Linked DNA regions of Struthio camelus. The protein of the gene in region 1 interacts with the protein of each later gene in a biochemical or structural test. Links are inferred from orthologs where the notes say so. Each region holds a gene or a part of one and is shown on either strand. Other genes may lie near its edges.

Region 1 (7,878 bases):
CAGCCTCTGAGGAAGCAGGGAAGGGAAAAAACAACATGCTTGGGCACTTCTGGACCTCAGGCAAAAGTACTGGGCTTGGTGAGGGGTGTTTGCTGGTACTTGTTCAATTGGTGGAGTTTTTTGTCCTTGATTAGAGTTACTCTGCTAGCGTAAGAGTGATATCATGAAGCTCTCTTAGCTCTCAATAGAAAGTGAGCAAGAAAACCTGAATTCTGCCTTTTGGTCCTGGCAGTTCTTTGTCTGGAGGTAACAAACTGCAAACATGCCCTGGGCCTTCTCTGTAGGCTGTTCCAGTGCGGCCACCTGGCAACGCTCTCCTCAGATGCTTCAGCCCAATGGTTGAGTTTGTTTGCAGTCTGGTGTTTTGTTTCTATGAGAAACGAGGACCTCTGCACCCTTGAGTGTTGGGGTTGGTCTTGGAGAACCGGTCCTCCATCCAGGCTATCCATTTTCTCACGAGTAGGTTGGACGCTCCAGAGCCAGGTCCTTAATGATGAAATGAAGGACTGTAGTGACCTCTGTGCCCTGCTGCCATCCTCAGATTATGGCTAGAAAGGCGCCACAGCTCCGTCACTAGTTGTGGGTCACTTTTCCGTTCCGTGTCCAGCTGAGACCAAAGATCTCAATCCACCTCTGGTGGGCTAGCCCGGTGTGGGCTGCCCTCCCTGAGAGAGTGGGCAGTTCCTCTGAAGTGTCCAGGTAAGAGCTCAAATGGGCGCTTGAAGCAGATTTTAATACTCTATAAAGAGAACAGAAAGCAAAGCACTGAGCCGGCTGGAGGAACTGGGCAGGGGACAGGCTGATAACCCGTCCCCAAACCTCCCCACGTCAGCAGTGCCGTAAGTCAGCCTGGTCTCGGACTCAGGATAGCTTCATCCTGTTTTTAGGTTAGAAAATGAGACAGCTGTGTGTAACTGGGACTGCCTCAACAGTGGTATGGCAATCCGGCACGGGTAGAGAGGCCAAAAGACAGCCAGCATAGCCTGGCCCCGAGGGAAACAAGAGTTGTGACGTGAATCTGTCCTCTCTCCTCCAGGAATGGGGGACCAGCCCCCACGAGTTTCTCGGCGCCTATAAGCTCCAGCACGACATGTCCTGGACTCCCTTTGAGGACATCGACAGGCGAGATGCTGAAATAAACATCCTGGACAAGCTGCTGAGCCAGCAGGCAGCGCTGCCTCCGTGTACAGAGCCCAACTTCCAGGGTCTCACCAAGTGACGTGAGCCGCCGTGACCGTACAGGACCTCTGAGCAGAGCCCCTGCGAGAGGACAGGCCGGCTGTGCCCGAACGCTGCCGAAGGCGGGGCAAGGAGAGAGATCCAGAAATGAAAACGCTGCTGCCGCCGATACTTGCGCTGTACTTTAATGAGACTAATTCCAAAATCAGCCTTACTGGATTTTCTGGTAATCGAGTAATTTCTTTCTTTGACTCGTGCCAAGCTCTAGCGAGAGGCAGATATCAGATGGAGTCAGTCCAAGAGGGCTTGGGGCAAAAAGCAAAATCACTTGACGCAGATGTGATAGCGCTATGAAATACGTCCTGCCTGTCCAGCCACGGTGTACGACTCTGCGTCTTGCGCTAGGTAATCATTTCAGGGCTGGGTTTCGGCCCTGATGAAAAAGCACATATTTAGGAAGCCCTCTGGCCGGGGAAGAGCAGTTAAAGCCCCATGCAGAAGGGTGTGTTGTGAGCTGAGCCTATGGGTCTCTCCCAACAGCGTTCAAGAGCCTGTGACTTCCATATGAGGTGCCCTGGAGCTCTCCTGGCTGGGAAGAGCATCCTCAAAAGGACCACGCAAGCTTCAGGCCCTTGGCCTGGCTGCTGAGGGTTGGAGCAGGCTGTGCGCTCTTTGAAGGACGGGTTTCCATTGGCTTCAGCGGCTGAGCTGCCAGGGAGTGACGGGGAACGTGCCGGGCCCTGCACTCTTGTTTTATGTTGAGTGTGGCTGTGGCAGAGCACTGGAAAAAATGAAATAAATCTTATCTTGATCTCACATGTACTGCCGTGACGGGCCCGGTGTCCTGTTTGCATGGCTGACGTCCCTTCTCCTGCTGTACCAGGGAGGCTCGCTGGTGTCTCTCTGTCTTGCGCCGGGTGCTGGGGAGATGCAAAGATCAGCGCTCTTGAGAAGATGCCCTCCATCCATCCAGGCATGTAGATGCCGTGGGGGTGCAGGGCTCCTTGGGGGTCTCTCTTGCTCCGGGTCTTGCCAGCAGGAGAGCAGCTCTCCCTCCAGTTTAGTTTCCCTTCAGCAGGGGACAGCCTCTCCTTCGGCTTCCAGCCTGCATGCGCTGTGGCAGGCTTTTCTTTTCTTGCCTTGTGCTTTCTCTTCCGGGTGCAAGTGCAGTCCCCCCCTCTCTGAGCTTGCCTTTGAGCTTTGCAGTTTTGCCCTCTGGCTGTTGCAAGATCAGCAAATCCTGGCTGAGGAGCTGCAAATCGCCTCCCGAACACCCGGTTTTACCGGCCGTGGCTGCCGGCAGCGCAGCTCCTCCGGCCTTCCCAGGTGAGGCAGTCATATTCACTGCAGCCTCCGCAGCCTCCACTACCTGTAACCCTGCGTTACCTAAAGGCAGATTTTTAGCTGGCAGATTTTTAGCTTTTCTGCCCCAGCGAGAGGCATGCGCCTACTCGTTCGGGATCGCTCTCTTCTGGCCCTCGCACCCCTGGCATGCCCTGGGAGTCAGGACATGCAGCCTGCTCAGCTCTCCTGGTGCCGCCTCGATGCTGGAGATGATAAAGACCATCTGTCCTGGAGCAAGTCTCATTCCTGATTTCTCGATGGGGGGCCGACTCCTATTTCATCCCACAGCCGTGTGTGCTGGGAGCCATCCTGGCTGCTTGGATCCGACCCACCAGAAGACGTCCCGGTCCTGTGGAGGGATGGGAGGTTTGAGGCTGAGCTCCCCGACAGCCCGAGCGTTTTCTTTCCTAGTTTTTTCCCCTTCCAGCTCTGCCGGATGCAGCAGCTCAGCCCCATCCTTCTCCGGTTGAGTCTTTGGTTGGCAGAAACCTGGTCCTCGGAGTTGATGCGGGACTTTTCGAGGAGGTTTTCCCAGCGCACCCCTCCCTCACTTAGAGCACTGAGCAGATAAAAAGCAACGTATTATTATTATAAGAAAGATCAGGGTATAATTAATTCCTTATCAAGTGGCAAGTGCCTAATTGGATGGGGCTTTTTCCCCCCCCTTGTTGCATAGCCCCAGGCATTATTTTACTGCATGTTATTAAATCTCAACTTGGAAGGTAGAAAGTTAATTACTGCATGGGCTTTTCCACAGTGCTAATTACAGCAGCAGCAGAGATCTCCATGTGTGCTGATTTACGCTCCTCTGGGAAGAGGTATTCCTGCCCCAGTTTTATTTCTGTGACAGCGATCGTTTTTCATCATTAAAATCCGTACGGTGACGTACACGTACGAGGGGATTGGGGTGATGCCCTTCGTAGCTGCCGAGCCTGTGATTTTACAGGCTGGCTTTTGGCCGTCTCGGCGGGCGGCCGCTTTCATCTAATCAAAAGCAAAGAGCTGGAAGGACGTCAGAAGTACCGAAAGATAAGTCAAGAGATGCTTTTACGCAGCCCGTCCTGGGGGAAAAGGGCGAGCAGGGGGCCGCTGGCAGAAAAGTGGGACGTGCCGATCTCGAGCTTCCTGCAGCGCTCGCAGCCGAGGGCCGGTTTTTGTCCCAGCGTCGCCCAGCGCCTGAACCAAACAGCGCGTGAAAACGGAGAAGCCGGCCCTGCCGAAACCACGGGAAGAGCTCCGGGGAGGATTTCCCTAGGCGTTTCCAGGCTCGCGATCTCATCCGCTCGGCTCGACCTCTGGCAAGCCGTTTCCTCGCCGCCTCTTTGGGTCGAAGGGGTAGGAAGCATCAAAAATCAGCCGGGAGGAGCGGGCGGGATACCGGTGCCAAAGGGAAGAGGCCTGAGCTGCCGGCACGCTAGGGGTTGGCCCTGTCTTGCTCCTACGCGTGCCCCCCCGCCTTTGATTTGGGCGAACGCGTGCCGCCTTCCTCGCTCCGAGGAGCAAACCCGCGGGTAAGGAGCGAACGGGGCGGCAGGCGTTGGTGACTCACGTCGGAAAACCTCGCCGAAGGTGGGCTGGGGATGTGGGTTTTTGTTTGGTTTTTTGGCACTTCTGCGAGCAAAGAAACTATCGGGCTGCGTTTCAACTTCGAAAAGGCCCTTTTCAGCCCGCCTTGTCGTCGCTGCGGGATCTGAACGAGAACGGCCCGGCGCCTACGTTTGCTGGCTCTTAGGGATGCCGCGAGCCTTGTTGCCTTCTCCTGGTCCTGAGCGGGGGGGTTTATTATTTATTCGATGGTAATAAACGGTGCTGAGAGCGCGGGAAACGTCCGTCTGATGTGATAAAACCGGTTCAGCTCTTGTCTGCAGCCTTCGTTGGATTGCACGTTTTGCAAAAGCACAGAAGCGGGGCTGGGCGCCGCAGGCTGAACCCGCCCCACGGCAGTGGTTTTCAGCCTCGCCAGATGGTTTTCGGCCGCCCCCCACCCCCGTTAGGGATTTTGCGCCGCCAGCTTCCTCCCGCTCCTTCCACGTTGCCTACTCGAGCCGCGGTGCGAGACCCGGCTTTCGGGCCGGTTTAAACGCTTTCGGGCGTTTAATTCATCTAGACAAGTTTCCTCTTTCAGCCAAAACGGCCAGGTTGCGAGTCCCGCCACCGGGCCGCGTGCACGGCGCTGCAGGCCCGGGGCCGGGGTCCTATCGCCACCAAGACCAAGCTCCGGGCCGCTCCGCTCGGCCCCGGTGCTCGGCGCTGCAGGCGGCGGCGCGCGCGCGCGCGCCCGCGGCGGGGCGGGGCGGGGCGGGGGGGCGGGGCGCCACCTCCCCCTCCGCCGGCTCGGCGGCGCCCCGCCTCCCCGCCCCGCCCCGCCCGGTGCGTGATGACGTCAGCGGCGGCGTGCCCCTGTGCCTGAACGGAGGAGACCCCGCAGCGAGCTGCCAACGCCCGGCGGAGACTCTGAGGTGAGAGAGAGCGCGCGGCGGGCCGGGCGCTGCCGCTACCGCGACACCCCCCCCCCCCCCCGGCGGACCGCCGACCCCCCCCCCGACCTCTTCCTCACCCCCCCCCCAAATCCTTTCCTCGTCCGTGCGGGCAGCACCCGCTGCCGGGCTGCGGGCCGGGCCCGGCCGTGCGGGGAACCGCCCTGCCGCCGCCCGCGGGCGGTGCGGGGGGCTCCCGGGCCGCCTCGTCTCCCCTCCCCCCCTCCCCTCAGGGCAGCGGTGGGGGGGGAGGGGCGGCCGTTGGCAACGGTCGGGCGCGAGCGCCTTTGGGGGGGGGGGAGGGGCGGCGGCGCGGAGCCGCGCGGGGTTGGGGGGGGAGGTGAAGGGAGCGCTTGTGGATAGGGGGGAACCCTCCCCGGTAAAAATAAATAAACAACGAATAAAAGCGAAGGTTGGTCCGCGCTTGTGGGGTGCAGAGGGTCGGCCCTGCCGGGAGCGAGCAGCGCTGAAGCGGTTCCCGAGATGCGGCTCGGCTGTGCCTAACGCTGGAGGTAGAGCGCAAAAAGTGAGCTGCGGCCCGGGGAGGAGTTGGGAGGCGCTCCCTGGCTTTTTGTCTCCCTGGGTGCTGGGTCATCGGTTTGCCTGCCGGCCATCCTGGGCTTGTCGTTGTAGCCGTGCCGACCGGTGTCGCTGTTTTGGCCTGGGGTGGGAAGCCAGGGTGACGGTGAGGGTCGCTGCGAGGGCGCACCCCTTCCTCCGAGTTATCAGCTCCTTGCCTGTAAACTCCTGCAACAAGTCACCTTTTCCCTCGCTGCGCTTAAAAGCGTCCTATCGTGGCTTGTTAGTAATCTCCCTCATAAGTAGGCAGGCAACCATGGGAGGACGCTAGTGTAGTCAGGTAGCGCGGAGGTAAATAACCAGCGTTGTGAAACGGGTGCTTCGTGAAGGATTGCAGAATGGCCAGAAATCGCGTTGCCTTGTCTGTGTGGCTACTGCAACCAGTAGAGCCAGAGCAGCTTTGCCCTGCTCTCTTGACAAAAGCATGGTGAAGACAAGGCCTTAATGAGGAGGCCATGTTAGATGACAACTGTGTAGGCAAAAGTAGTTCAGTCTGGCCATCTGTGGCTGTCTTTGTCTCAGGTTCATCTGCGAATGTTTCCTCGCTCTAGAAAAGGAGGTGTTAACTGTCTGTATTCCAAGTGTTAAATTGCAGTGGCCCACACGCCCTTTTCTAGAGGGGAATTAAAAACCTGGATCAAGCTTCTCCTATTGCTAATTGGAATAACTCGGCAAAGTACTTAAAGCTTGTCTCTTTCAGTTAGTAAAAGACTCTTATGTAAAAATAACTTTAGGTAGAAGGCTTTTGTATTCGGACAGCTACGTGTGGAAAGTGTGGTGTTCTGCTTTATAAAGTGCTCTTTTTTGTTAGCTTACAGTTATGGGAATGTATAGGCAAATGCATATTTGAAAGAAATCTTATGGGTATATGTAAGGCTTGAATCAATATATTGGTAACTGTAGAAACGATTCTGTGTGTTCAAACTGTTCAATTATTATATGCTTTAGTAATAATGAGGCAGAGCATTTTTAAGTCTTGGCAAGAAATAATAACTACCACTGTGCAAGATAAAACATGTTCACGGTTTGCTAGCTTGTTCTGGACAGAAATTTTAATTGTTAGATTTATGTACTTTGAACTTGGTTATTCATGATCTGTGACTGATGCTTTTAGTTAGCGCGTTATACGTCCTGCTTTGGTGGTGTTTGTTGGCCTGAAAATGATGGCTGATTTGGGGAAGTTTAGTGTATTTGCAGTGTTAATATAGAAGTGTTCTGTAAATCCTACCGTGTCGGAGTACCCAAAAGGGGAACTGTAGATCTACTAAAAGAACAACGGTAAATGGAAATGGAGTACATCTGAAGCTCCTAGGGATTTCCCTGATGAGTGTGCAACTGTGATTTTCTTAACTTTCCTGTAAAACATGTGCAAGGTCGCTGTTGAATGCAGCACTAAGTAGACCTGCAGTCCTAGTATAAAAGTTCCTTTTGGTTGAAACGCAGCTGTAGTACTAAAATAAATCTCAAAGGCTTGTGAGCATAGACAAATAGACATTTAGTTAAAGCTTTTTCAACAGCTGTCTGTTGCACCAGAAATTTCAAAGTTCATTGAAATTATTGGTATAGTTGAGTCGCAATGCTCCTTCTGGGAACTCATACTGAAACATGCATCACTGCAGTTTAGATATGTGTGTAACCCGTTTTGCTCTAGAATGTGAGTGTTCACAGCTTTTAAAAAATATCTGAACTTCTGCATTTTAGCCCCCTCTTTCCTCTGCCTGCCTCTTGTGGTCAGACAAACTTTCACTGTGTCGTTAAGCTAGATCTTACGGTTTTTCAGTGTCCCTAGCTTCTGCAGTAGCAGGCTTTGTGAAGAAATTGCAAGGGGATGTTGTTATCCTCACTTTTGAGGCTTAATTCCCCCTGGGGAAAGTAGAATACTTCTTTTTGTACAAGATTAGGGTGCTGCCAAATTAAATGGGTGTGAAATTGATTTTTAGTACGCCAGGTAGCAAGAAACCCTTCTTACCCACTTAGCGTACTGCAGGCTTCTAGCTTGGCTCCTGTCACCTCTCTATGTTAAACACATGACAAAAAAAAATTTAAGTATTTAATATATGACAAATAACTTCTTGACAAGGTAAGTTTTTATGCTGAGGCTTTAAAGAAATTTAAAGTAGGTAGACTTCAGAAAGTTGTCCTCGTTTAACGAGGTGGACATCAAGCTTCCTTTAAGCTCTGTTGGAAGCTCATACGTAACATTAGCTAAGGACATCCATCAGAAAAGATTGCTGCTGGAATTGGTATATGAGACATTTTTGCAGAGTATTTCAGAGGGCTAAAACTTGACCTGAAATTA
Region 2 (7,388 bases), on another chromosome or scaffold:
GAACTGCTCAGCGAGGGCTGCAGACTGCAGATCGCCTACCCAACGCGCCCATTCGTTTCGTATTTCAAAGGCCTTTGTAGTTCCCCTGGGAGAAAATACAAGGCGCTTTAAAGAAAAATTAGCTAGACATGTTGAAGACTGACAAGTGCCCTAACTTTAAAAACACTAAAGTGCAGAGAAGTGACCTGCCTGGCTCCCGCAACCCTCTGCTGGAAAGGGCTCGCCTTCTCTCTGAATTACAGATCTCCAAGAGATTTTTCTTCTCTAAGCCGTGGCAGAAATTGCCTCACTCATCTCTCAAATCTAGCATGAGGCATGACTAATGTCTGTGACATGCCCTGAAATACTGGGAGGAAAGGTGCTATAGAAATGCAAAGCAGCTTGCAGGGACAGAAACACAGTCTGTCTCTCTCGCACTCTTCCTTCTCGGCTTTGTTTTTCCACACCTCTTTGTTGTGGTCCCCGCTTATTTTGTAAACAGAGTCTGGTACTGCTTGGCAATGGCATCACCAGCTTCTCCAAATAAATAAATAAAGCGCAGAAGAAATCTCCGAACGCAACGGATGATTTTCCTCAAATATTTCACTCCAATATTTCATTTCACTCCATGAAAAATCACTGAAAGAAGCAGGAGATGAAGGAAAGGAAGGAAAGATATGGAGCTGCCTGGCATGAGCCACTTGGGAAAGCATCACGAGGCCAGCTTACATGAAGGAAACCAAACTTGGCGAGCTAGCCAGCAACACAGCAACTCCCTTCTGCCTCCGCCAGGGGTAGACGTATCTTTTTTCATTACATTACCCATCAAAAAAGCCCTCTAAACCCAAGCCAGGTAAACTCCCCTTCTTCAGTTTCCCCAATCTCATTCCTCAGCGGAAAAAGAGTTTGTGAAAAAACCAGGCATACGTACCAAGCTGTGGAGCGCTCAAAAAGAGCCTCGCGCTAGGTGGAAAAAATTTCTTACTCCTGATTATTAATAAACACGCATCTGTTTTCTGAAGCCAAAACTGAAGGTTGAGCTCGGTCAGGGATTGACGCTGGGCCGCGCTCCTGCCTCTCATCCTCGGGGTTCGGGAAAGCTCTGGCTACGGCGGAAGCGAAGGGGGTGAGGGACCTTGGGATCCTGCCTGCAAAGGGCAGACGAGCCCTCCAGACACACGGCAGCAACCTCGGACCGGGGCCCAAGCGATTCACATCAGCTCCGTCCCGCCTGGTGAAGTCGACACAAGAGCTCTGACCTTTTCTGCTCGTTCAGGTCAAAGCATTTCCTGGCATCATCGAGAGCCGTTAAAATTTCCAGAAAATTAGCAAGACGACGGACTGAGCGCATGAGAAACAAAGAGGACGTTTTACATGGGAGGACGTTCTGCCTTTCTCTATTTTTTTTCTTTTTTAAGCAAAGATGTTGAGGCAAAATAAAATAAAATAAAATAAAGGCAGTGAGCTGCAAAGCACAAGCCACAAGCTTGGTGGGAGGCAGCGAGAGGGGAGACGCAGCTGGACTCTTCCGCGGAGAGTCAAGCCCTTGCTTTGATCTCCGGTTTTCTCAGGCCGCGCTCCTGCGCGCGGCCCGCCATGTGGTTTTGCTTAGACAGACATAAGGGAAAAAGCTCTGCCTGGGAAGGGCGACAAAGGAGCCCGACCAAAAATCACCAAGCGACAGCCCGTCAAAACGAGGAAGAACTTCCAAAACCGCTAAAGAGGCGACAGCATCTAATACGGAGGGAAGGGCCCCGGTGCGCCGGGACGCTCGGGGTCTCTTCCTCCCAAGGGGTTTCCGAGTCGCGCGAAGCGGCAACGCGGACGCAGGGATCGCCCAGCGTGCTGCTAAAACGGCGATCTGCCGGCGTCCCGAGCTGCGTCGGCAGCCGGCCACGCGGGCACGGTCCTGCCTCGCCTCGATTAGCCCGTCAGGTTTGACGGGACCGGGCACAAGCACCAGCCCAATAAATCACGGGATTTTGCCTCGTCGTCACCTGACCGTATGCATTTGCAACATCGGCTTTTCTTAGTCCACGTGGCTGCGCTCTGCCCCGCGCTGGGAAGCGCCGCTCGACGCCTCTGCGATGTGCTGGCTCCTCACGCAGGGAGCCCTGAACCCACCCGCGGCGGTGGCTAAAACTTTGCGTGTTGGCATCTGGCACGGCACATCCTGCCGTGAAGCAGTTCGCGTGTCTCAGAGCTGTTGTTCCAGGCTCTGCACATCGATAACTATCGTCGGTTACTCGTGAGCGGCTTTGGAAATTTTCTTCACAACTCTAGCAACTAACATTTCAAAAATATTTTACATTGAAGTTCAAGAGTCAAAACTGCTGCATGCTTACAGCTCAATTTGCCCTACTCGCCCAATACTTTGGCAAACAGCAATATCATTTATGCAAATGCTCTGGATAACTGGTATCACCAGAATCGTCTTATATTTACAGCGCTTCACAGGTGCAAGAGAAAAACCAAAAGCATCAAATCCAGCCGGCAGAATATTCGCAGCGACCCCTCTCTTACCTTTTTAAGTATTTCGGAGAGCACCGGTGGGCCACTGCATGTTTGCTTTCGCAATGCAAATGCAGCCTGCATAACCCTGCGGTTAATGCAAAGCACATACGGCGGCTCTCCGGAGAACTGCCAGGTGCGCGGCACTGCGTGTTACCCCAACGCAACCGCGTGTCTCTCGCAGCACAGCCCTGCCTCCGGGCCCCTGCCTCCAAAACCAAGGCAGCTGCTTCTGGAAACGCTAACCATTTAACCAAGCGTCTGCAAAGCAGCCCAACATTACAGAGAGCCTGGGGTCGGCTACCGCAGCAGCAGCACAGGTCTCGCCTCTGCTCAGCACCGCTGGCTCCTGCATCTGGCTCGTCTGGAGCAAAGAGATGGTGGCGAACAATTCAGATTTTTACACGAGGTTTAAGTGAACCTCTTCTGCTGGAACAGCACCGTTTTGCCTTAGGATGAGATGTCATACGCTTCAGGCTTCACCGGGCGGGAAGGCTTCGTGTTGCGAACGGGCTGTGCAAGTCGTCAACCCGCAGGCAAGCGGGCCCTGCGCCGGGGCAGGCAGCTGCCGAAGGAGAACCTCTCCCCGTCTCGCATGAGGGCAGCTCTGGTCCCTCCGTGCACCCCCCGCCGCCAAGCCTCATTGCGCCCCCCCCATCCCCTGCAACCCTCACCACCCAGCCCCACTGCAGCCAGCGGGCTCCCTTGCAACCCTCCACCATGCCATGGCACTGCAGCCCCCCTGCTTCCAGGCACCTACGGGCTGCAGCCACCCTGGCTCCCATGCGCTGCTCCCAGGTGCTGGACCCTGCCACGGCCCCCTTGCTCCTGTGTACCCTGCGGCCCCCCCTGCCACCTCACTGCAGCCATGCGGCCCTGCTGCAGCCCCCCTGCGTGGTGCAATCCCTGTCACCCCATTGCAGTCTCCAGCAGCCCCCTGCCCTGCGGGCTCCCCAGCCCCGCTGCACCCTCCTGCCCCCCATGCTCCCCAGCCCCACTGCACCCTCCTGCCCCGCTGCAGCCCCTGCCCCGCGCGCTCCCCAGCCCCGCTGCAGCCCCCGCCCTGCGCGCTCCCCAGCCCCGCTGCAGCCCCCAACCCCACTGCACCCTCCTGCCCCGCTGCAGCCCCTGCCCTGTGCACTCCCCAGCCCCGCTGCAGCCCCCAAACCCACTGCACCCTCCTGCCCCGCTGCAGCCCCCGCCCTGTGCACTCCCCAGCCCCGCTGCAGCCCCCTGCCCCGCTGCAGCCCCCTGCCCTGCACACTCCCCTGCCCCGCTGCAGCCCCTGCCCCGCACACTCCCAGCCCCGCTGCAGCCTCCTGCCCCGCGTGCTCCCCTCATCCCCATCCCCGTTGCAGTCCCCCACTCCCGTGCACCTCCCGTCCCCGTTGCAGCCCCCCAGTCCCGTGCACCCCCGGTGCCCGTTGCACCCCCCGTCCCCGTTGCACTCCCCAGTCCCGTGCACCCCCGGTGCCCGTTGCACCCCCCGTCCCCGTTGCACTCCCCAGTCCCGTGCACCCCCGGTGCCCGTTGCACCTCCCGTCCCCGTTGCACTCCCCAGTCCCGTGCACCCCCGGTGCCCGTTGCACCCCCCGTCCCCGTTGCACTCCCCAGTCCCGTGCACCCCCGGTGCCCGTTGCACCTCCCGTCCCCGTTGCACTCCCCAGTCCCGTGCACCCCCGGTGCCCGTTGCACCCCCCGTCCCCGTTGCAGCCCCCCAGTCCCGTGCACCCCCCCGTCCCCGTTGCACCCCCCACTCCCGTGCACCCCCGGCCTCGCGCGCCCTTCCCGCGCAACCGCTCCGCGCGCGCTCGCCCCCCCCCCCCCGGCTCCCTCGCCCACTCGCCCGCCCTCCCCGGCGGCGGGGCGGAGCCGGCGGGCGGCGGCAATGCGCATGGGCCCCGGTGCGCGCCGGAGCCTTTCTCTGCGGCGCGGAGCGTGTGGAGGGGGGCGTGTGCTGGACGCGGTTCCCTCTCACCGAGCAGCAGCGGCGGCGGGGCTCTTCCTCGCGGCTCCTTCCCCGCCGTGTCCTCACCGGCGGCGGCCATGTTAGCGGCGGCGGGACGCGGCTGGTAGGCGGCGGTTGGGGCGCCCGGGCTCGGTCCCTGCTGTGGTGGAGCGAGGTGAGTTGGGGGGGGGGGCGTTGAGGGGGGAGAGGAGGGCTGTGGGGGGAGCGGTGGTGGTGGGGGGGGGGGGGCCGCGCGTATCGCGATAGCGCCGCGTCTGTCGCGAAAGCGGCGCTGAGGGGAGGGAGGGAGGGAGTGGGGGCGGGGGCGGGGAGGGGGCGCGCGGGAGCTTTTGTCAGCGCTTCCAGCCGTTACCGCCAACGGACGCGGCTGGTCACGCGCGGCTGCTGCCTCAGGGGCTCGCTCCCTCCCCGTGGCGGAGAAATAAATGCATAAATAAACTCGTGGCTGTTTCTCGTTTTTTTTTCCTTTTTTTTTTTAATTTTGTTTTTTAAATTCCTCCTCCCCCCCCCCCCCACCCTCTCAATTCTCTGTTATAATCACGTTTAGTCACTGTCCCGTGTCGCTGAGCCGGCAGCAGGAAGGGTGAGGGATGTCACAAGGTGGAGGGAGCTGTGAGGTGGAATAGTTTGATAACGCCCCCTGAAGATCACATGTTAAGAGAGGAGGGAATAATTGGGATTTCAGTCTGTGTATTCCATTATAAGTGCTTTTCAGATGCTGGAAAAACAGCTTTGTGCTCTTTGGCGGGCGTGCAGCTGCCGTCTAGCTTTGTACTTGGCTCTTTTTCCATTGTGTAAAGTGTCCTTTGTGGTATTTTTGATGGGGTCCTTTTAATGCCTTGTTAGACCTTTTCAGGTGTAGTGAAAATCCACAGACTTGCTTGGATCAGTAAGGGTGCTCTGCAGAAAACATCTGTGGGCTACCAAAGCATATGAAATGGCAGCGTACTAATGTTTTAATGTCAGTAGACATTTCATTGTTGAGTGTGTGTGTGTGCGTGTGCCTGGAGATGATTTTATCTGGAAAACCTTCTTGGCTAGTTTTTACACCCAATTGAAATGGGCAAGTGAGAAAAGGATAGAAAAATAGCATCTGGTAAGGATAGATCCCCAGCGCTTTTGGACTCTGAGTCATGCTGAACAGTCACTTCAACTGGAGGAAAAAGGTAATTTGGCTTTTGAAACATTACTTACAAGCAAATACCCATATGCCTTATGGCAATCTTGCAGTGCCATCTCTTTCTCCTTTGAGAAGGTGTCTCATGTTGCAGTCTGTTGCTCCAAACTGAATTCTGATGGCTTTTGAATTCTAAGAAGGTGATGGGAACACGTAACTTTTGTTACACCACTACGCTTTCCACATGAGATACTGCCGAAAACAGCACTTTGGACAGAGACTCAGACAGCTTTTGCTGGGGATGGAAGTCCAGTTTGTTGTACTGGCTGATATGGTCATCGGTAAGAATGCGATTTTGAGGAACAGGTGAGAAGACGAGGAGGTAAAGGCTTGAAATAAGGTATTTCACCTCAAGTAAGAGCTATAACCCTAACATGTATTACCCCAAAGTGACCACTCTTCCTTGATACGGAGCAGGATGATTAAACTTCCAAGACTGTTATAAGAATACCTGCTTGAAGAGTTTGAGAGTTGAGTAGGGAATCAATACCTTTTTCACCGAATAGGGACAAAAGTCCTAACATGTTTGTTTAGTACCGTGCCATTTCTTTCCCACTGCACAGATTTCTCCTCATTCCAGTTTTGCAAAATTATGTTAGCCTCAGGTGAGCAACTTATTTTGATTGGCAAGTAAAATATTTTCTTCAAAATAAAGAGCAAGTAAGTAGTTCTTGTGCTTGGGCTGTTTTGCTTTCATGAAAGTTATCGAAGGCTGCTTTGTGCTGTGCCACAGTGTGTACCCTTGTATATCTGAGGGTTTTGTAGTGTCTTAACATAACGGGAGTCATCGGGAAGAATCAAAACTTTGTTCCTTTGAGGATATATATAGGGATTGAGAAATAAAAGGAAAAAAGTAAGGTGAGAGTCTGGCAATAAGTGTTTTGTAAAACCTATTATTTGGGGAAACAACACAACTGAAAGTTTTACATGATATAAATACTGTATATAGCATACAGAAATACTAGCTAATTGCCAGAAGCAAATTGTTGTTCAGTATTTCAGCTTGCAGTCTTAGTCTGGGATTTGCGGGTTTAAAATAAAAATGTCAAATTTTGAAGAAGCCAAGAGGATCAGAGACAGGTCAGTAGAACTGCCATTAGGGAGTTGTGTTACTTTCTGGCTCTTATGTATGTTTTTAGCTGGATATGGCAATTTTACGTGCTGCTTGTTGATGGATTAAGAAATATCAGTCTCTCGCTTCTTAACTCTCTGTTTTTCTGTAACATAAAGTGAGAGGAATACAATGGTGTCCTTGACTATAAGGGAAAGGATTGTAGTGGTTACTTCTTAGCTGGGGAGAGCATCCCTAAGGGAATGGAAGAAATCTAACGAGTAAAAGGGGGAACAGTACTGCTTTAGCAATTTTCCCCTGGGCTTTGGTTTCTTTTGAAACTTTCTTTTGAACTTCTGAAAAGGAAATGTTGTTTTGCTATTTGAATGTGGTGTTTTGTTTCAAGTGTCAGACCGTATTAGGGGGGATGAGTCCAGTGAACTTCCCCCGTTTCCAAACAAACACGTCAAACGTTTATACAAACATTCAGTGTGTTTTTCAGGAGCCGAATACACACATTTCCAGAAAAAAGTGAGGTTTTTAGTATTTTATTACGGCTAGAAGAGTGTGTATACAAGAGAAAAGTTAGAATAGATTCCCTTGGCCTTTGCTTGCTTCTCTCCCCAAGTAAGAGGAAGATATAGCCTCCTCATGAACTGGGGAATTATTTTCATTGGCACTTCCTGTCAAAGTATTCTTAT
Region 3 (7,612 bases), on another chromosome or scaffold:
ATTCGTTTCTGACAGATCTTTTGCTTCTGAAAGTTCACAATTTCTTTAATGTTGGATAATACCAATTGAAAATCACAGTTTGAATTACTTATGTAAAACAAGCTGCCTAATATCTTAGTCCAGCGAAAGCAAACAGTGATTTCCTTGTGACCAATGAGAAAAATATTACTTTGGCAAAATATGAAGAGCGGCTGTTTTAGAAATTAGTAGAAGTGATGATGCGAGAATGGAAACCCATGTTAGTGGCAAGCTATAGTAGAGAAACTGAGGCAGGAGGGGCTTGAATTACAGGGGGCTTAGCACTGTCAGTACGAAACAAATAGCTGACATCAGACCAGTTTAAAAGTGGCTGCTAATGGGGGAAACTTCAGGGCACTAATCAGTTTGGAGGGTGCCTGGCTTACTAAGCATCTGTAACGTGCATTGAGATCCACTGATCGGCTTCTAGACTGAGCCTTAGTAATATTTATTCTTGTTGATGTAAAATTTGAGAGAAATCACAGAATTTCTCAGTGAATGTTTTTTGCTGTGGCAAATAGCAATGATTTGCTGGTTTTAAATTCATAGCAGTTGTGTTATAAAAATACAGTAGACAGGTTCTTCTCTAAAAGCTGTAATGTCAGTCATTAGCCAGGGGTCACTGGCAGATGCAGAGGAGCCATAATCCAACCAATTCTCTGTTAAGAAATTCTGGCAGTTTTGGAGACAGAAAGGAGGGGACTGCACGCTAGTTTGAGTTGTTAGCAAGACAACATAGATACAAGAGTCAGACACAAGCGTATACGTTATTGATGAGTGTAAGGATTGAATTAAATAAAGGAATTAAAGCAATAAAAGAAGGGGGAGGGGTACAGGGGGAAAAAGGCACGTTAAGAGTTAAGGGTTCTATCAGAGACTCTGAATCACAAGTGAATGTGCATAATTTAAAAAAAAATACTCTTTTAGTTTGTTCTAAAAAGACATGCCTGGGGAGAGAATGGAATGGGAGGTGGATAAGAGTTGTGAAAAGGCTTTGGGGCAGGACCTGAATGGGTTTGGGGGTACAAAGCTGAATCGGAAAGAAGTAAGGTCATTTTGTAGGAAATGAAAGTAAAGCTGGAGGAGGTGTGAAGAAAGTTTAGAAACCTGCCACAGTTTCTTGAGAAGTACATAACTGTGGAGATTAATTACCAGAACTTTTAGTGCTGAAAGGGATTAATAGGGAGTTGAGTCTAAGCAGGGAGAATGACAAAGCAGCATGCGAAGAGAAGTGGGGACGATGGCCTTGTCTGCAGTAGGAAGGAGACCAGAACAGTTGCCACTGGCCACAGCAGGGTCACTGCAGAGTACTACTCCTGGAATAATGCAGTGGAAATATTGGAGGTCTATGGGGGCATGTGTTCTGCAATCACTCACTCTGCATTAATTCTGTGGAGCTTAACAGAGATGATGACCAGCAAATGTGGGCTGAAAGCAGCAGAAGCTGGAAAGGCTGTTTTGCACTGTTTGTCCCTGGACGTGTGGGCAGGTACCAGGCCGTAATGGTAGCCGCCTACTTTTCCCAGACTTCTTACGAAAAGGATCTGCCTGACATGCTTTCTTTTCTTTCTGAAGGAAAAATCAGATGTTGCTTCAAGCCTGGGTTGAAGGAGGAGGTCAGGTCAGAGCTGCAGGGCAGGTGGATGTTTGGGTAAGTCATCTGGAAGATTAAATATGTCATAGGAATTTTGGGGGAGTAGGAGTTTCGAGGGCAAGTATGCTGCTTTCTCAGCTGTGCTTGCTACTACAGCTCTTGGTACCTGGGCGTTAGAGTAACTACAGAAGAGGTGGTGCAGGTCACTAATGACAGGACATGGTAATGCTGGCAGTGACTCTGGGTTCTGCTGCTGTAGTTCACATATAGTCCTTTTGGCAATACCGTCAAGACACCGAGCTGCAAGGATTCGTGGAATTGGAAGCACGTGGATTATTCTAAGTTAGAGGGAGAACGGTTAATTTGTCATTGGCTATGCTAATACAAAAACAAGCTCCTTCCAGCACATTAAGGCAAGAGGAAGGCCGAGCATAGCATAGCTGAGGACGGCAAAGCACAGCCCTCTGGTGCTCTTGGACGCCCCTGCCAGAGGCAGCAGCTGCTCCACAAGCACGGCGGGAAGCCCCCATGCTGCAGTAAACAAGTTTTAACCAACAAATCACAGAATGGCTAAGGTTGGAAGGGACCTCTGGAGATCTTCTAGTCCAACCTCCCTGCTAAGCACGGTCCTCCAGAGCATATTTCCCAGGATCACAGACGAGTTTTGAATAACTCCAGGGAAGGAGACTCCACTACCTCTCTGGGCAACCTGTTCCAATGCTCTGTCACCCTCACAGGAAACACGTTTTTTCTCAGGTTCACATGGAACTTCCTGTGGTTCAGTTTCTGCCCATTGCCTCTTGTCCTGTTGCTGGGCACCACAGAGAAGAGACTGGCCTCATCCTCTCGACACTCCCCCTTCACATACTTGTACACGTTGATCAGATCCCCTCTCAGTCTTCTCTTCTCCAGGCTACACAGGCCCAGCTCTCGCAGCCTTTCTTCCGAGGAGAGATGCTCCAGTCCCCTCATCCTCTTTGGAGCCCTCCGCTGGACTCTCTGCAGTAGGGCCATGTCTCTCTTGGGCTGGGGAGCCCAGAACTGGACACAGGACTCCAGGTGAGGCCTCGCCAGGGCTGAGGAGAGGGGCAGGATCACCTCCCTCCACCTGCTGCCAACACTCTGCCTAAGGCACCCCAGCAGACCATTGGCCTTGGCCACAAGGGCACATTGCTGCCTCATGCTTCACTTGTTGTCCACCAGCACTCCCAGGTCCTTCTCTGCAGAGCTGCTTTCCAACAGGTCCACCCCCAGCCTGTCCTGCTGCCTGGGGTTATTCCTGCCTAGGTGCAGGAGCCTGCCCTTGCCTGTGTTGACCTTCAGGAGGTTCCTCTCCGCCCAACTCTCCAGCCTGTCCAGGTCCCTCGGAATGGCAGCACAGTCTTCTGGTGTGTCAGCCACTCCCCCCCAGTTTAGGATCATCAGCAAACTTGCTGAGGGTGCACTCTGTCCCTTCCTCCAGGTCAGTGATGAATATGTTGAACAAGACTGGAGCCAGGACTGACCCCTGGGGGACACCGCTCGCTACAGGCCTCCAACTAGACTCTGCGCCACTGACCACAACCCTCTGAGCTCGGCCATCCAGCCAGTTCTCAAGCCACCTCACTGTCCACTCATCCAACCCGAACTTCCTGATTTTACCTAGGAGGATGTGATGGGAGACAGTGTCCAAAGCCTTGCTGAAGTCCACGCAGACAACATCCACTGCTCTGCCCTCATCTCCCCAGCCGGTCATCCCATCACAGAAGGCTATCCGACTGGTCAAGCATGATTTCCCTTTGGTGAATCTGTGCCGACTACTCCTGATCACCTTCTTGTCCTCCATACGCTTAGTGAGGACCTCCAGGAGGAGCTGTTCCATCACCTTGCCCGGGATGGAGGGGAGGCTGACAGGCCTGGAGTTTCCTGGCTCCTCCTTCTGGCCCTTTTTGAAGACTGCGGTGACACTGGCTTTCTTCCAGTCCTCAGGCAGCTCTCCTGATTGCCATGACCTTTCCAAGAGGATGGAGAGTGGCCTAGCGATAACATCCGCCGGCTCCCTCAGCACTCGTGGATGTATCCCATCGGGGCCCATGGATTTGTGGGTGTCAAGTTTGGACAAAAGATCTCTAACCTGATCCTCCTCCACCAAGGGAGAGTCTGCCTTTCTGCAGCCTTCCTCTCTTGTCCCCAGAGTCTGGAATTCCTCAGCACTGGCCTTAGCAGTGAAGACTGAGGCAAAGGCGGCATTCAATAACTCTGCCTTCTCTATATCCTTTGTTATCAGGGCACCCGCCCCATTCACCAGTGGGCCCACATTTTCCCTAGGCTTCCTTTTGCTATTGATGTACTTGAAGAAGCCCTTCTTGTTGTCCTTGTCCTCCCTTGCCAGATTTAATTCCAACTGGGCCTTAGCCTTCCTCGTCGCATCCCTGCACACTCTGACAACGTCCCTGTATTCCTCCCAAGTGGCCTGTCCCCTTTGCCACATTCGGTACGCTTCCTTCTTCTGTTGGAGTTTGGCCAGGAGTTCCTTGCTCAGCCACGCAGGTCTCCTGCCCGCTTTGCTGGACTTCTTCCTCAGAGGGATGCACCGGTCTTGAGCTTGGAGGAGGTGATGCTTGAGCATCAAATGAAGTATTGGGGAAATAATGCCAAATTTCAAAGAAAAAGCCAGAAGATAGAAGAGAGGTGTGAGTTTAAAAGACGTCCTTGTCCTTTATTTTGTCTTGAGGGTGTTTGCTTTTGTCAGCTGTGGGGATGTGCAGAGACTGCCTCTGATCGCCTCACTCCTGGCGGTGACGCTACTGAAGCAGCGTTAATTTGCTCTATAGGGAACCGCGTCCAGGGCCTGTAGAGCCGCCGCTGCCGGAGGTAGCGCCGCTGCCTCCGGCGCCATCTTGGGCCGCTTGCCCCAGACTACGCGTCCCGTGAGGCCCCGCGCGCCGAAGCGCCGCCGCGCGGCCTGCCGGGAGTTGGAGTCGGCGTGCGGCGGCGCCCCGCCCCTGCCCGCCCTCGCGGGCTGTGGCCGCGCGTGGCGGTTCCGCTTCCCCCTCCGGCTCCTGCCGCCGCCGCCTCGGTGGGTCCCGCCGCCGCCATTGCAGGAGGCGCCGTGTGGCGGCCGCGCCCCGTCCGCCCCGCCGCCCCCTCTCGCCCCCGCCGGGCCGTCTGCAGAGGCGGCAGGCGCTGCCGCCATCCCGGTGAGTGCCGCGGCGGCGGCCCGCTCCCACCTGCCGCCGCGTCGCCGCGCCTTCCGCCCTTTGTGGCCTCCTGCGCGGCCGCGGGCCTCTGGCGGGCCCGGGCGCGCCGTCTCGGCCGGGCCGCCGCCCGCCCTGCCCGCCGGCCGCCGTGGGGGGTGCGCGGGTCGCGGCGGGGCCAGCTCGGCCGGGCCGTGGCACCGGGCTGCGCCGCGGGAAGCCGCGGTGGCGCCGCGGGCGCCGGCCTGCGCCGAGCGCGCTGCCCCGGGGGGCTGGCCGCGCCCGCGGCGGCGATGCGCTGGCGGGAGGCGCAGCGGGGGCGCTGCCCGGGGGAAACGGGGCGGCGAGCTGGCGAGGAGAGAGGCCGCCTGGTCGTTTGGTGATCCGGAGGAGCTGTGGTGCGCTCGCCGCCGTTGCCGCGCGGCGGTGGCTGGCCGGAAAGCGGTGCCTGATGTTGCTGTAATGCTGATTTGCCCTCTGTGGGCCAGTACTGCGGGAACTCAGCAGGCGCTTTCTGAAGCCCAAGGGTCACCTCCATCCTCTGTCCCCTGCCGCCCCCCTCCCGACACGTCCCTTTCTGCCTCAGGGCTGGGCGCGGTGGTGGCACCCCCAGAGCAAAGAGCAGTCTGTCCCGAGGAAAACAGTACACCCTTCACAACAGCCTTCGTTGTTGTCAGATCGCTTAAAGTGGGGGGAAAATTAGCGTCAATGTATCTGTGAAAAACTCTTAAAGAAAAATCTGTACAAGTACGGAAATGTAGTGCAGAGAGCTTTTGGTCACATGCTTTCCTACAGTGAGTGAAGGAATCCGAGTACTGCAGCAGGTTATGAATCTTTCTTTGGAGCTGCTGTGATACCCTTTTTATACTAGACCGTAATGTAACTGCTACTCTTTGTGTGCTCTTCTGTTTGTTTTTTCTCTTTGCTGTGTTTTCTGTTTAGTTTTTGTTAGTGCGTTTTGCCTTCCGTTCTGTCCGTGCTGCCTGCCCGACAACAGTAGATGTCTAATGGTAGGCTGATCAGGGAATTGGGAAAAAAAATTTGGTTTAGCCTGAGCTCAGGGACTGGTGTGTACAAGCAACTGCCGGAAGGTTTGTCTGGGAGCAGACAGTTAATCAGCTAGCTTTCAAAGAGCAATACTGCACTTTGCCTGTAGCCAAAATAAATCCATTTACATGCTGTCTTATGGTAAGTGAAAGCAGGCCAGATATTGCAGCATTTTTATTAATAATCCTCATTATTTTGGAGGTATTGCAATAACTGGGATAGTAAGCACAATGACTGGGATAGTAAGCACAATTTGAGCATGGAATTTTGTGTCTTTTTTGTTTTTTATCTTCTTGCTCCTGCCTTTCTCCATTTTTCTCTTTCTTTATGTCTCTCTCTCTCTCTCTCTCCTCTCTCTCTCTCTCTCTTTTTTTTTTTTTTTAAAGATAGGCTTGCTCTTGGGCTTTTCAGTATGGTGCAGCCTTCACAATGTGAGCCCTGAAGTGGTATGTGGCTAAAAATCAGGGGACTGAGTACTTTGTGGTTCGGTTTCTCCGTTTAGGAGATGGAATTAATTTAATGCACAAAGATACTGTAGAGGCAGACTTACAAATATCCGTACATAACCAAGTGTGCTGTACCAGTTTTATGCCACCATAGGACTAAGAAATTAGTCATTTTATTATTGCAGACTAATAGACTGAAATAGGAGCAGTGTAGAAATGTAAAAATGTAAAGCCTTTGCATGATGAGATTTTGAGGAGAATCTTCAAGATCACAGGAGCACTTCAAAACAACTCGCCAAGTAATGCTTTAGATGAAGGAAAGGCCTATGACGGTGGGGGTATATTTCCATTCTTGGGGTAGAACAAAAATATTTTTGAAAGCATAGTGCAGATTCTCTGTATTGTCTAAGTTGCATGTGGGATTTGACTCTGCTTTATGTAGACATAGTTATTCAAAAAAAATGTTGGGCTAGGAAATGGTCAATAATACAAACGTTTTCAGCTGCTGTCTAGATATTTTGCATGTTTTAGCTGAGGGCAAAGTGTTTCAGTGGATCAGAGGTGCATGTGCTCTGAGTTGTTTTATAGGACGTTGTCAGGATCTCATTCACTGGGATGAAATTTATGCCAGCTTAACCTGAAAGTTTGGCCAATTGGGGGAGTTTTTCTGAGGCACCTGTTACTGTTTCCTGTCTGGAATAGCTGCTGGAGTAGATGGATGGATGCTTTGACCATGTATGGTAGGTCTAATCTGCTTACTTTAAAATGTGTCTTAAAAAAATCATGCACACTTGCATTGTTTAAATTAGCGTTTCAGTTATGTTTGAAAGGAAAAATTATCAAGCAACTTCATTTTCTAAATAACTTTAGGATAAATGTTAAAGGCTTTGATGCTGTTAATTTCGTTCTTTTGATATCAAATGTGAAAAGCAGCAGGAATCTGAATATAGGTCTCTGTTTTACTAGTAACAGCTACCTCCATTTCAGAATTCTCTTATCTGTCTTTTTTTTCCCCCTCCACCTTTCACATGTCTGTGCGGTAGCCACAGTTGGGAAAATAGTTAATTTGTTTTGGAAACAAGTCCTAGTTATAGAGACAGTGTTCTAAATGACTGGGGCCAGTGATAACTTGAGCAAAGCTCTGGTGACAGAGAGTTGAGCTCTAGCAGAAAGCTTTGAGAGTGAGTTGTCTTAAGAAAACATTGAGGAGGAAAAGAAGGGGCTAGGGGAGGCATAGTGGTGGGAAGAACAAGAAGACGGAGAGGTCTTGAGCAGCTGGGCATGATGCAGTCAAGCCAAGCTGCCTACTTAGCTCAGCTGTCTGAAAATGC

Evidence for each region. The genes of interacting proteins can lie anywhere in the genome.
Region 2: of the proteins of CDC42 (region 1) and ARHGAP32, one has a biochemical effect on the other in vitro, tested with the Homo sapiens proteins (3 studies listed by BioGRID). The link is inferred for Struthio camelus from reciprocal best matches to the Homo sapiens genes CDC42 and ARHGAP32.
Region 3: the proteins of CDC42 (region 1) and PAK2 form a complex in vitro, tested with the Homo sapiens proteins (4 studies listed by BioGRID, with this or other methods). The link is inferred for Struthio camelus from reciprocal best matches to the Homo sapiens genes CDC42 and PAK2.

What each region holds. Positions count from the first base shown.
Region 1 is NC_090962.1:12,587,256-12,595,133, reverse strand, and holds the start of CDC42 (cell division control protein 42 homolog), read left to right. Parts: upstream 1-4,861; 5' UTR 4,862-4,982; exon of another isoform or gene 4,983-5,022; intron 5,023-5,300; exon of another isoform or gene 5,301-5,526; intron 5,527-7,878. Other genes in the region: C21H1orf50 (uncharacterized protein C1orf50 homolog), read left to right, coding at 1,037-1,219. UniProt on the Homo sapiens protein: Plasma membrane-associated small GTPase which cycles between an active GTP-bound and an inactive GDP-bound state. In active state binds to a variety of effector proteins to regulate cellular responses. Involved in epithelial cell polarization processes.
Region 2 is NC_090963.1:7,274,931-7,282,318, forward strand, and holds the start of ARHGAP32 (rho GTPase-activating protein 32), read left to right. Parts: upstream 1-4,386; 5' UTR 4,387-4,613; intron 4,614-7,388. UniProt on the Homo sapiens protein: GTPase-activating protein (GAP) promoting GTP hydrolysis on RHOA, CDC42 and RAC1 small GTPases. May be involved in the differentiation of neuronal cells during the formation of neurite extensions.
Region 3 is NC_090950.1:2,562,712-2,570,323, forward strand, and holds the start of PAK2 (serine/threonine-protein kinase PAK 2), read left to right. Parts: upstream 1-4,610; 5' UTR 4,611-4,670; intron 4,671-6,874; exon of another isoform or gene 6,875-7,021; intron 7,022-7,612. UniProt on the Homo sapiens protein: Serine/threonine protein kinase that plays a role in a variety of different signaling pathways including cytoskeleton regulation, cell motility, cell cycle progression, apoptosis or proliferation.